Linked DNA regions of Rhinolophus ferrumequinum. The protein of the gene in region 2 purifies or fractionates together with the protein of the main gene of each other region. This does not show direct contact. Links are inferred from orthologs where the notes say so. Each region holds a gene or a part of one and is shown on either strand. Other genes may lie near its edges.

Evidence for each region. Proteins that work in one complex are often made in the same cells at the same time.
Region 1: the proteins of PPP6C (region 2) and PPP6R3 purify together in Homo sapiens (affinity purification with mass spectrometry; 10 studies listed by BioGRID and IntAct, with this or other methods). This does not show direct contact. The link is inferred for Rhinolophus ferrumequinum from reciprocal best matches to the Homo sapiens genes PPP6C and PPP6R3.

Annotation. Positions count from the first base shown.
Region 1 is NC_046294.1:4,279,826-4,287,163, forward strand, and holds the start of PPP6R3 (serine/threonine-protein phosphatase 6 regulatory subunit 3), read right to left. Parts: upstream 3,035-7,338; 5' UTR 2,901-3,034; intron 2,163-2,900; exon of another isoform or gene 2,047-2,162; intron 1-2,046.
Region 2 is NC_046295.1:74,838,614-74,845,527, reverse strand, and holds the start of PPP6C (serine/threonine-protein phosphatase 6 catalytic subunit), read left to right. Parts: upstream 1-3,876; 5' UTR 3,877-4,038; coding exon 4,039-4,113; intron 4,114-6,914.

The DNA of each region.
Region 1 (7,338 bases), on a different chromosome or scaffold from region 2:
AAACCAGTCTAGCATCTGTCTTGCTCAACCTTGGCATTATTGTTATTTGGAGCGGGAGGGGGAGTCGGGAGGAGGGAATGCTGTCCTGTGCCTTACAGGATGTTGAGCAGCTTCCCTGGTCTCTACCCTTTAGCTGCTCACTCCCACTGGGGTGACAAGTTAAAGTATCTCCAGACATTGCCAAATGTTTCTCTAGAGGCAAAATCATCCCCCAGTTGAGAACCACCGATCTGGAGTAAATAAAAACCAATCATTTGAGGTTTTCTTCGGAAAGAAAGAAAAAACAAAACAAGAAAGCTACTTAAAGCCAAGAGGCTAGGTCTATGTTTTCAGTTCCTCGCACCTGAGAAAAGTAGCTAACACTACTCAGCCCACTGGGGCTCAGATTCTGACTTATAAGGAGGAACAAACCACAGCTTCTTGGGCTTTTCATGAAATAAACTCAATGCTGAGTTTTAGCTGAGCAGATGGTTAGAAGAGCTTCAGTCACTATCATTTACTCTCCTTAAGGGTAACAAAAACATTGTAAAATTTTAGACCAATATCCACTCAGGTTGCATCTCAAATATCCAAAATATAAAACTGCAACATACAAGTGTATCATAGAAACAAAGTCAATATTGAGCCTGACAACTACTGTTCTAAGGAAGACATGTTTTACCTGTAATAAGCATATTATCTTTGTACCAAATAGATACCAAAAATTAAACAAACCGAGCAAACCTCACCCTGTCGAGTCTCAATTTTACTACTATTCACTTTATGTCCAGCTATGTTCTCACTCTCAACTTCTCAAGTAACTAATTGAAACTAGCAAGTTTTTGTTTTGTTTTGCTATAATTTACACAAAAGCTATTATAATTTTCTGATCCAAACTGACCTTCTTCCTGTTCCTGAGTTAAGTTACAGCAGCAAGATGCTCAGCTCTACTTAAGACTGAGTCTATCCAAGCAACACTTTCCCAGTGCAAGACAGGTCCCAAGCTAGTAATGCCAAGGAAAAGGGGAGCACGGTTTCGAGTACCAGGGAGACGCACACAGGGCAGTAGTTAAAAGACTGTGGTATATGTGTGACTGACTGGATGGCATTTTGTTAAATATTCTAGATTCCCTGATCAGACACACTGAAACGCAAAACAGCTTATTCCCCAAACCATCTTTACTGAAATAAATGTCAATACACAATAACCTTTCAAACCTAAATAACCACCCAAGAGTACACAAAGAAATCCTGGAGTTACTGATTTGGGGGGCAATCATACTAAGGATGTAACACCCACAAGAGGAAAAGAATCTGACTCGAGCTCCTGATGGGCTTTTCTTTATTTACATCTCCTAAACCAAACATTCTGAGGCACCACCGCTAAAAATTACTCCAGGATACGTTTGTAATTCAGTGAATCTTCAACCACCCCTCTCCTAAAAAAAATGGAAAACATTTCCACTTCATTTTCTCACTCCAGCTGATTCTTAAATACACAAAGTTTTCCAAAGACATTCACCAAGAGCCAGCGCTTAAACACTCATCTGACTTTCTAATAATACCTAAACATTTAAAAATCAAATTTAAATTAATAATAATTGCCACTAATTACTAAGCTGATTCTGCGTGCTAGGCACCTTTTCTAACTGCTTTACATGTATTAACTCATTTACTCCCAACAAACTTTTAAGGTAGACACTTATTATTCCCATATTACACAGGAAGCAAAGAGACTGAGTAACTTGCCCAAGGTCACAAAGCTAGAAAGTGGTGAAACCAAGATTTCAATCCAGGCAGTCTGACTCCAGAGCGAAGATCGCTCAAACACCACCACCACCTAGCAGACGTCCCACTGGCTGGAAATCTGGAGTCCCTTTCCCACTTGCTGCCTACCTGCAACATGACCTTGAGGACTGAATCGAAGTAAAATTCACATCAAAGTGGGGCAATATCCACGTTATCAAGTGCCGTGAGGATGAAAGGAAACTACCAAGTAAGCGCCCCTCCCATAAAAGCAAAACATAAACAACGCTCCACGGGACCCACAGAGAAAATGTGAAATACCGGAAAAATTACACGAAGCTCTGACGCGTCAGGACAGAGATACATCCAAGGGCTCGTTCCGTGCACCTTACAGCCAAAAGTCCAAGTTGTGATCAGAGCAGGCGGGATGTGGGAAGAAACCCCTCCAAGCTAGGAGCGAACAGGCTTCTTTAAGAGGGAGGTACTTCCAGCCGCAGAAGGACCACCCCCCTCGCTCATATTCGCCAGGGAGGCTTTCGTGACCAGGTCTACATTCGAGTCACAACACTGGAGTTAAAAAATCGCTCAGAAGGCTATTTAAATACTCCGAGCTGCTTTTTGCGTTTTCCAGCGAGTCTGCAGCGAATGAATAGAAACCCACAGAACTTGTTTCCCGGAGAACGAGTCCAACAATGGCCTTCGCCCGTCTACAGCGAGCTGCCCCTCAACTTGACATGCTTCCGGGGCTCGCGCGGAGAGTTCTCCGGGGCCCGCGCGCGGGGCGGCGCCCGGGGCGGGCAAGCGGGAGCGGAACCGAGCCAGGCCAGGTTAGGGGCGCGCCCCGCCCGCCACCACTGCCGCGCAGGGCCGCGGACCTCATCGCGGGCGCAAAGTTCGCCGTCGGGCCCGCGTCCCACCCCAGCGCCCCGCACGGCGGGGCCCCCGCGGCCCGTGGCGGGCGAGCAGGAGGCTGACAGGCGCGGACCGGGACGGCCGGGAGAGCCTGGACGCCGCGCCTCTCGGGCCGCCGAGCGGCGAATTCCGGGGGGGAGGGGAGGGGGCCGGGACGCTCCCTCCCCGCGCCGCCGAGGCCAGGAGGAAGAGCCTCGCCGCCGACCGCGCGCCGCGCACCCCGCGCCGCTACCCGCTCCGCCGCCCCCCTCCCCCTTCATTACCTGGAGGTGCCCGCGACCCGCCGCTAGTTGCGCTCAGGCGGGAAACGCGCTCACCGACACCATCAGCGAAGCGCCCAAAATGGCGGACGTATCAAGCAGGCCTTGAGTTCTCCCCGCCCTCCCTCTGGCCTCCTCGCAACCAATTGCGGCCCTGCCCCCGCCCCCGGCTCCACGGTCATTGGCTTCCCTCTCCCGTCCCCTGCAGCCTATTGGGGCGCCCCGCGGCCCCGTTGCACCCACTCTTATTGGCTCGCAGGCCCCGTCAGTCAAGGGCAAGGGGCGCATTCTTTTCCCATGGACTTGACGGATCCGGAACCTCTAGGACCCCGGAGTCTGGAAAAACAAATCAGAAACCAGGAGAAACCTGGCTGGGTCCCCCTACGCCGTAGCAACAGCAGGGCCCCTGTTTGACGGACGCTTCGGACCACCAATCCGATAGCAAATGCTTTTTAAAACTAAACTGAGCCAAACCAATCATGGCCGTGAAGCTGGAAGCTGCAAGGGAACCAATGGGGTAGCGAGACCCGTGGGCGGGTTGGAGAGCCTGCAGGAAACCGGTGATGACGTGAGTCACAATATGTGTCCGCGGCGGAAGTTTTCTGGACCTGGGGAATTAGCTCAAATGGTAGAGCGCTCGCTTAGCATGTGAGAGGTAGCGGGATCGATGCCCGCATTCTCCACGGCTGAATTTTATAAAGGGAGACCTGCACGTCCTCGGTCACCTTACGAGGAAAAGGTGGCTGTCGCAGGAGTTAGGGGTCACGTTCACGGTAGAGAGGTCAGACCAGGTTCCCCCAGCCCCTACCCCTACGGTACCGGGAGAGAAGAAATGTTTTGCCTTACGGAAGGATTTACACACGAGTTTCTTCCGAAATGCTAGAGGGCGACAATTGGCGACAGGGCTAAAAGCTGGGGGCAAGTAAGCGTCCGGTGAAACCCAGCCGGAATTCAGCGAACGCAAAATTACGCACCCACGAGTGTGCGCGCAGCGCAGGGGAAGCTTGGGCTGCAGGCTGCGGAAGCGGGGTGCTCTGCATTCGTGGGCAGCCCTTTAGTGAGCGCCTGGTGTGTGCACAGCCTGTGGGGGTTCGTCAGACACCACCTGGGTAGCACCAGGTAGTGGTAAGTAAAACAGGCCGCCGAGTGGTGCGGGCCCTTCCTGAGCAGGTGTCATTTCAACACAGGGACAGGGAGGACAGAGCTGCAGGCTCTTGCGTCCAGATGGCGGGGAAAGAGGCCTGAAGCCCCCAGGTGGGGCTGTGGAGCGCCAGGGAGGCAGGTGTAGCTGCGTTGTGGTGGGAGAGGGCATGCGCATGGCAGGGAGAGGAGGTGGCAGAGGTGACTGGGTGGTGGCCGGGCCTTGAGGACAAGTGAAGGAACTTGGGGTTTATGCTCAGAGATTGAGGTCCAGGAAGCGCTTCTGGGTAGCGAAAGGCGTGTTCATGGCTGGCCTAACTTTATTTAGAAAGGACTGTTCTGAGCAAGAGCAGCAAGGCAATGCTACAGGAGGCAGAGGGCGGGGGCGGCAGGCCCCAGGGGCTGGACCTAGGAGTCAGGGAGAGGCTGCAGGGAACACTGGCATAGGAGTTGGTGCCTGAGAGGGAGGCTGGGCGTGGATAGGAGGGGACAACTAGGGCTGGGACCTGCCCTCGGGGGCACCTAGGGAGGGCCCAGCCACCCACTGATCTCTTTACTGGTTCATCTTCAAAGGACTTGCCAGTACCTGCTTCTGGCTCCTCCATCCCAGACTCTGAAGTGGGTCCTAGGGCCATGTGCACTATAATTAAATGAAATAATGCAGTACCTCACCCAATATAAGTGGGCCCCGAAAGTCTCCAGTTAGATGAGCTCCTAACCTAATCTGAAGGGTTGAAGCCAGGAGAACTTCCTGAAGGGGGAGGCATCTGAGCCCTGCCCGTCACCTGAGGGCAGTAGGGAACCACTGACAGGCTTTACAGAGGAGAGGGACTTTTGAAGCTTTGCATCGGCCTCACTGTTGTCGAGTTTCTAGATTTCACAGAGCACCACTCTCCCCCTTTTTCTCCTTAATCCTTTGGTGATTTAATTTTTAATGTTTAAATTTGCAACCCATCTAGACTTTTAAAAAATTTATACGAATCATTTCTCACACACTCAACAGTAGAGAGAAACATTATGAACGCCCATGTGCCTGTCACCCAGCTAGTACTCCTAAACTTTGGGAACAGCCACAGAACTGTGTCATTACTAATTCTATCAAGTAATGGTTTTTAAAAATACCATTTATTATTGCCGTCCTTTCATACAAGGAAAGACATTTGAACATACATACACTTAGGTAGGAAAGACTAGCTCAGGATAAACAAAAAGGCTTTAAATTGAATAAGCTCAGCTTGGGGACAAAGACATCCTATTGGCTTTCCTTTTGTTACATCACCAGGGCTCAGTCCTGATCTGAGAGCTAGAGGGGGGCCATGCTGAGGACAGCCATGCTCCAGAGGGGCCCGGGCTGGTTCTGGGTCAGGTCAAGGTCGGTTGAGGTTGGAGATAAGGGGCCAGATATGCAGCTCTAGTGGGATGTGAAGGGTCGACCGATTTTAACACGGAAACGTTAACTTTTCTGTTTCTTTTCCTTTTCTTCCCTGCATTAAGATTCAATCTGGGTTGGGGAGAAGGTATTTCCCTTCCTGCTAGAGGACTGTTGGTAGCCCAAGTGTTGGTAGAAAGGGGAACCAGTAGGTTGCTACCAATTAGGGCCGCTAGCTTACGGGGAAAGAACAGGAGGGCATTTGGGTGCAGAGAGAGAGAGGTAGACACATGGGGATCTGGATGAGGACCTTGAGGGAGGAGCCAGCAAGGGGGTTCCTTGGCGGGACCCCAGCCTGGTGACCTGAGGGTACGGTCCAACAAGCGGGTCTCAGTGCTGGGAAGAGCCATCTGAGAGGCTCTCAAGAAGGTACCCTGCAGGGGCCAAGTGGGATCCTAGCCCCACCCCACTTCCCACCACCCAGGTTTCTCCACTTCACCCACATCCCAGTTCCCCATTGTCCTGCCTGGCACTGGACATGCCTAAAATCTGGCCACGTGGATTTTGTTCGGCTGCCCGGGGCAGCTATGGACCCAAGAGGGCTGCCGGGCCCAGGCAGGGCGGAGCTCCCACACGCATCCTGCGGCCAGCCTGGATGAGGCCTGAGCTGAGCAAATGGCTCCTCTGATATGGTCAGGGAGGCCCTGTCGTTCCCCGAGGGACACCCTGCAGGGCTCAGTGAGGGCTGACAGAGACTCAGAGGTCATGCGTGTCACCGCAGAAGTGAGAGGGTTTGGAGGGAAGGTGGAAGCCCTTTTGGCCACGTTGAGTAACACCCAGTAACCAGTTAGTAATGTTTATCGGATAAAGGAGTGATTGAACAAATGAATGAAAAAAATTGTGGCTTTTCTTTTTTTTTCCCTGAGCCTTGGTTTCCTCAACTACAAATCGAAGATACCTCGCTGGGGTGTTGTGAAATTTAAATGAAACAAGCTAAGTTAACTTCACCCCCTCAGTTAAGACTGCTTAGACGTCACCTCCTCCAGGAAGCCTTCCCATCTGAGTGTGATACCCTTTCTGGGCCCCAGATATCTCAACACTGCTTTCCCCCAGCCAAGACTTTGGAAAACTCTCCATGATGGATTTGGAGTACCTTCAAGGGAGGACATCTGACTAATCTCTGGGCCCCCCAGCAAGGGCTCTGCAGGTAGTGGGTGCTTACTGAAGGCTGACAGATTTATTTGGCACATAGTAGGAGGCCAGCAGTTTGGCCCATTCCCCCTAGCTGATTGCAAGGCAGGAAAGCGTCCAGCAGAGTGGTCTCTGGCCACCAGATGGCACCCATAGCCATGCAATGGATCTATCAGGGGACACTCCAGGGTGCTGGGGGGGAGAGCGGGAGGGCTGCAGAGGTAACTCAATCGTCCCCAGCCCACGCAGGCCACGGGGGTCACAGCCCAGGTCATTTCTTCCCCACCCCTGGTCTGATCCCTGGCAGGCCCTAGAGGACTGGATGGCTGGCTGGGTGGGAGAATGGAGCAGAGGTGCTCCTGGGGACCCCCGATGCACGATTGAAGGGCAAGAGAGTGGACGGAGGTCTCCTAGGGGAACCCCCCAATGCAGCCACTGCTTCTGAGTCAGCAAAGGTGCCCTCTGCTCCCCGCGTGGCTGCCCAGGCCAAGACTGGTACTTTAAATTAGCACCTCAGGGCGTGGGGCCCAACCTGGAAGAACAGGAATCCTGAGTGCTTAGAAGCCCCCCCGCCCCCCGCCCACTGCAGGCAGCTCTGTGGGGCAGGGGACCCCACCTTGGGCTGGGAGTCTGGGTGCACCATCTAGCTCTGCCGGTCCTTTGTGGTATGACCTGGGGCAAGTGCGTCAGCTCTGAGTTTAACAGTTCCCAGCACCCATGTACTGAGGACCTGCTCCTTGC
Region 2 (6,914 bases):
TCAGTCTTTAGGCCAGTTCAAGATTTGGCACCTTAAAGGGCTGATTCATTCCAGAATTAGCATGTGTAACTATGGCAGGTACTATGCTGAACCAAACAAAAAAGGTCCGTGGCCTCCTGGAGTTTACAACCGTACTAGACAGGGAGAGAGAGAGGTTAAATAGAAAAACAAATAACTAGGTACATTTGTAAAAAGTGTAAGGAATAAAAAGTTCATCAATGAGAGTATTTCTTGGGAAAGTTAAGTTTCTCTGGGCCTCGGTGTTACCTGTCTGTAAGATGGGGCTAATTAAGATTTCTGTCACAAGGTTATGGTGGGGAATACATGAGCTAATATAAAGTGCTCAGTGCCCAGCTGCTGGTGTAGAGCTGGTCCTTTGTAAAGTATAATGCTATTCCTAGCTATAACCCAACTCTAGACGTGAGTCCTGAGTTAGAAGTGTTCATCCGCATTTTCTCTGGTCTCCATAACCATAGGTTCCCTGTGGCTTTCCTCAAAATGGAGAGGCGGCTCACCAATGCCTGTTTCAGAGAACCCCCGCAATCTCTTAGAGGGCTGAGGCCAATTGTATCCTAGGAAATACAAGAAACAGCTAAGGAAGGAAATATGGGAGCTCCTGGAGTACAGAAATATGGTAGCATAGTGGGAAGCAGAAAGAGACACTTGGGTTCAAATCAGGCTCCAGCACTAACCATCTAACCCTGACATTTGGCAAGTTCATTACCCTCTGCGAGCCCTAGTTTCATCATCTACAGAATGGGAATAGTAACACCTACCTCAGAGGAAGCAGTTGAGAGTGTTGGATAGTACAGGTGAAAGGCCAACTTGGTAAATATTTTGGTTACTTGAAACTATAATGAAAATTTATTGACAATATGGTCTGCAGTTCTCTTCACTGCTCAAACATCCTATTTCAAACACCTGGAGTCTTTGTGAGTTCTCATATTAATGGGAAAATCTCCACTGACTGCCAAAGAGGAGTTTAGGGGTATTTAGTCATTCTGCTCTCCTTCAGGAAAGGAAGCCAAGGGCAGGTTGGCTCTGCCATATGTCCATGTGCATCTAGATGGAGATTTCTGCTTAGAGTTGTAGAATGCTCTGATGTCCCCTATGTCTTTTGGCTTTTCAAAGTACTTTTCAAAATACCATGCTGGAGTTGCACATAAACAAGAAAAACTGGAAGAGGTTTGTGGGCAAAATAGCAAACAGTTTTCATTGTGGGACCTATGCTTTTAGACTAGAAATCACATTTCAGAAAGTGCTAGAAGGAACTTTTGAGATCTATTTTTAAAATGGAAATCAAGGCCCAGATAAGTTAAAATGACTAACTCACACAAATGGCAGAACCAGGAGCCCAGATCTTCTGCTTTGTGCAAGGAAGACTAATGACATATTCCAGTCAGCAAGCTCTGTACACTCACTGTCTGTGTAACAAACCACCCAATGTGTCTATTACCTCTTCTAAGAACTCACCCACCATTCAGGGATACCTTCCTCCTTTCTCTATGCTCCTCATGTGAACAGTGAGGGTCACCGAATAAGGTGGGTCTGCAGGATGGAGCTTCTTGCTGCCAGACAATTTGGTAATGTGAGGACTACCAGTTATTTTCACTGGAAAGGATCTCATATGCTTTCATTACCTACCTGATCACTGGCTTATCAGCAAGGGAAGCAATGATGCCGGTGACACTTTCCTTTCAAGCACTTTGTCCTCCTTCCCAATTCTGAGATAGTATCTTGAGTAGGATTCATTCCCAGTTACTGAGGTGCAGAGATGAAAAGTGAACTGCCAGCTTTCCAAAGAGGAGTATAAAAAAAAAAAAGTCAACAGTAGCATATTTTCCTCACTTGGAATTTTTTTCTTCAAGATATTTTGAGCATATTCTCCCTTATACTTTTTCCCCCTAAAGTCTTAAATGTTACCTCTTCAGAAAGGCCTTTCCTGCCGTCCAATGCTGAAGAGCTAACACTCACATTGCACTCACTCTGGACATGACATCGTTTTAACCCCTTTCCACATATTAAATTTATTAAACCTTAGTACAAGCCTATAAAGTATTACTCTGAACATCTCCGTATGGGGTAGGCACTTATTACTATCTCCATATTGTAGCTGAGAAAACTGGAGCACAGAAAAGATAAATAACTTTGCCAAAGTGATACAGTGAGTAATAGACTTGAACTCTGGTTCTAGAGTCTGCACACTTAACCTCCACTATCTTGACAATCTTAAAATAGGCCTCTCCTCCATTTTTTAACTCACAGTACCCCTTCTTTCCCTCTTTAACAGTAATCACACTTTGCATTTAATTACGTGCTCATTTATGTTTATTGTTTGTCTCCTGTATCATTCACATCATAGGTACTATGTAACTATTATTGAACAAATGAAGAAATGTATGTTTGTGAGCATCATTCATTGTGCAACCAATTTTAAAAAATTAATTTTACTAGAAATGATATTATACTTACAGAACAGTTACAAGAAATATATGAAGAACTCCACCCAGAGACTTGATTAAATTTTAGCCAAATGTCCCCCAACTACATTGTAGAACAAGAGGATCCAGTCCAGGGCCACTTGAGTAACAAATATAGATTGAGAACCTGCTACTATTGGATTATGTAACAGTCTCCTAACTCGTCTCTCAGCTGCAACCATTGCCTCCTAGTTTCATATTGCACCAGATCCTTCTAAAATGAGTTAGATGATGTTACTACTCCTCTGCTCAAAACCCTGCAGTAACTCCGTTACATTAAAAGTAAAAATCAGTAAAAACAAAACAAAACAAAAACAACAACATTCTTTTCTCACATCTCCTCTTCTCACTTTGCTCCAACCACACTAATTTTTTTTGCCATTTCCAAGGTTCTAGATATGCTTCCATCTTAAGGCCTTTGTGTTAGCTCTTTCTCATAACTCCCCTCTAGTATCTGCTGGCTAACTCCCCCACCTCTTTGTTGGTTCTTAAAAATGCATCATCTCACCTCCCTTATCATGCTGTGCTTCCCCCCTCCCAGCACTTGATTACTTTTAAATATACTATATATTTATGATATTTATTGCTTATGTTCTGTCTCCTCTACTACAAAGTAGCTATGGGTTGAGGATAGGGATCTTCGTCTATTTTGTTTGCTGAATATCCCAAGTGTCGACAGCTGTACCTGGCACATAGTTGGTGTTCAGTAAAAGCTGTTGAATGAACGAATATTGAAGGTACTTAGTGCCAGATCCTGTTCTTGGAACTGAGGGTACAACAAAAACTACGTGCTCGCATGGGATTCACACTGAAGTATATTTAAACCAGCTAGACCCGTGTTCCAATCCTGGCTCCCGCGCCTATTCCCTTTGAAACTTGGGAAAATTAACCTCTCTGAGCCTTGCTTTCCTATCAATCATTATGAGGAAAAACAGCATTTATATAGCATGTGGCATAAAAAACGCTTTAATATTTGTTTCGCTTCCTTCCAGGCTGGAAGATTCGTAGCCTGACATCTCTGCCACAGATTTAGGCAAGGTTTTCACAAGGCCTCGGAAAGGTGCAAACAGATTACTACGGCCAAGCTTACCTAATTTTTAATTGAAGATGTTCTCGTGACAGAATGCTTAAATGAGTCGTAGTGGGAAACCAGGGAATGACTAGAGTCACATACTTCGCCGTTTTGCATCGGAAAAGCCTCGTTGGGTCCCCAGACGTTAAAGTCTGGAGGAAGGGAAGAGGAGGAAAAGAGGCGTAGTTGGCCGCTACTGAAAACTACAAATCCCATCCCTCTCAGCGGCAGACAACTACGGGTCGCAGCCGGTTTCATTTTATGTAGCCAGGGAGCCCCTTAGGGCCCGCAGCCTGCGTTCAGCGGGAGAAGGATCGGGGCGTGCCGAAGCAGCGGGGAGAATCGGGTCAAGCTTTACGCCGCTGCGCAGATGCCTCTCACGGGCCGGACGTGACGTAGGAAGAGTTCCGGCTTCGGCCTTTGCCGCTGCCGCCGATACTCCAGCCGCCGCCGCCGCCGCCGCCGTCCGGGCTTGTTATTTCTAAAATGGCGCCCCTAGACTTGGACAAGTATGTGGAGATAGCGCGGCTGTGCAAGTACCTACCGGAGAACGACCTGAAGGTGAGCCCGGTCGGGGCGGGAGCGCTGCTGGCGGGCTCGCCCCTTCCGGCAGTGGGGCGCCCGCCGGCCCGCCCTTCTCTACCCCGGACCCCCGCCAGCATCCCGTCCCGTCACGATGGAGGGCCTGACGCAGTGCTGAGCGACCCGTTCCGACTTGCCTTCTTGCGGAGAGCGGAGGGAGCGGAGCCATAGTCCCCCGAATGCTGTCCCAGTTCCGTAGTGGGGATCCTGAGGGATGTCGCGGCCTCTGTCCCAGGGTTATCCCCCCTGGCTTTCGGGTGTCCCGGGGCACTGAGCCCTCACAGCTGTGCTTGGAACAGAAGTCTTCTCGCCCCTAACTCCATCTCCGGTCTTCCGGAGTCCGAACCGAGCCCCAGCAGGCAGTGCCCTCGGAATGGGTCATCCCCCCAAATATGACAGGAGGTCTGGGTGGCTGGCGAATGACAGGAGATGCCGCCGGCCTCCGGAACGCGTCCTCAGTCAGCGTGTTTGGGTTCCTGAGGACTGGAAGACGGTGGGCGGGAGCGGTTTGGTGGTGATGCGGGAAAACGTCAAGTCGTCCCTCTTTTCCTACCACTCCTCCCAGCTGCTTTTCAGGAGTGTTGGTTTTCTTCTGCCAGCTCAGATATGAATTCCATTTGCAAGTATGTTGTTGAGCTAATTTAAGTGGGTAAAACTAATATAAGTGGGTAATTTAGTAGGCCCTCAATAAATACAAATACTTTTCTGTCCTTTAAGGTGTTTCTCCATAATCCTTTCTTAACCCAATATTTCATTTTTTTGGTTTACTAAAGGAGGCGAGTTTTTTGTTACTGCCAAGTCCAAGTAACAGTAAAGTATGTGTGGGTAAAGGAATAAACGTCAGTCTTTGACAAGTGTTTCTATTTCTGTGCGTTTGTTAAAACCGGTGTTTAGGTGTCAGCAGCATATAGCGGTTAGTAGGGCTACTGTCTTTTATTTTTTTCAGTTAACTTTGGTTTGTATGTGGTAAGTGGGTAAACTGTGTAGTTATGAATTTTTTTTTATACTTTTAAGCTGTGGGTTTAAAGCAATTCATCTTTGTCCGTGAATTTTTTTCTTTTAAGGAAGATGTTACTGGTTTTTTTGTTTTGCCCTTTTGATGCAGGAAGTTGATGTTTAATGTCAGTCAAAAAGTATGCAAAATCTTGAAGGCCAAAGGACCTTAATGTAACTTATTGTACTTATAGGTAAATATATGCTATATGATAGGGGAGTCATTCTTGTGCATGTCCCCCTTTTTAATAGGATAATTTAGTGCTCGCTTCGGCAGCACATATACGAATAGGATAATTTAATTAAAAGGAGGACAAAGCCAGTATTAGTAGAAATGCAGCTTTCATGTTCATCTGAGTCCTTTGTGGCTTCTTTCTGCTATATGCTTTTTAAGGAAACAAGGATACAACCAACACTGGTATCCAGTTCATGGAAATCTAACCAGACATCTTTTGGTAACATTGTTAATCCCATGGGTGAAGTTATTGTTTTTTTGTCAGTGAATTGATGTGAAATTTTCTATTCTTTAGCATCTGTAAAGCAGTTTTAAGCTTTGTGTTTATAATTAGTAAAATGTTGCTTATTATGAAAATGTGTCTTGATATTAACTTGAAATTGATATTGAAATTATTTGGATGATACATCAGTTGGATTTTCTTTAGACCTCTTAGTTTGATAAACGTTAGAGTTCCTTCCAACCTTAAGGAAAAATAGTTCTTAAACCATTTCATTTCCCTTTGCAACACAATTGGCGTATACTTAGCATGTATCTAGTTATTAATAAATTTAAAAAAATCTACTGAGGGAAAAATTCTGAATTTTTTTTTAAATAAGGGGAGGCTTTTCTTCTTTGTCTTGGAAATATTTTTATCAGATTAATTTGCTTGTGATGTATGCTCATCTCTGGTGTATTTAAAGAAATTTAATTTTGTTTCTTCTTGGCATGAAGTGCAAACTAAAATTAGGCAGTCCAAGAAAGTATTCCAGGAGTACCTTTTCTAAGGCTTTAAAGCCAAAATAAAAGATTCTGTAAGAGGAAGAAAAGAAATCACTGGGATCACGTAATGATCATTATGGAAAAGATTTGTTCTGGTAGAAAAGGCAGAAATTCAGTGTGTTTTAAATTGACTTTAAGTTGGAGGTACTAAGTAAAATACTAAATGTATAAGATGCTCTAGATCTAATCATGATTTCTCTACACCTAAATTGTAAGTGGTCATGTCACTAGTACACAATCGAATCTTCGTAACTGTTTCGCAGGAATAAGAATGAACTATAAAAGTGAGTGGACCAAAGCATACCCTTTCTTTAAAAAGAGCTCATGTGATTCTCATCCATAAGGATTCAGAGCTGATCATAGAAGACATAGGTAGACTGATCTGATCAAGTGGAAGAATGAATGATAAAAGACTGTTTCACTGAATACTTCAACTTAAATACTTTGGCAGGGGATGGGTTTTATAAGTTGGAGATTGTCTGATCTCTTGGATAGTTCTTAAAGGTGACATGTAAGCAAAGAAATTGCACACTGAGTTGGTGTACAGTTTTTTTTCACTGAGGAACCAAAGAGAGTTACCATGGTAGGGGTTGGAGAATACTAGTGTCTGTCTCAGAGATGCAACACAAGGAATTGTGTGATTCCATAGTAACCACTTTTATGGATTAATTGTTAATGTAATTTTTTTTGGAACTCACTTTTATGTTTAGTCTGAGCCATCTCCTAAGTTTTTCATATAAGGCTACCTGCTCTGCACAGTTGTACCTCTGTCTGAAATGCCTCCATAAAG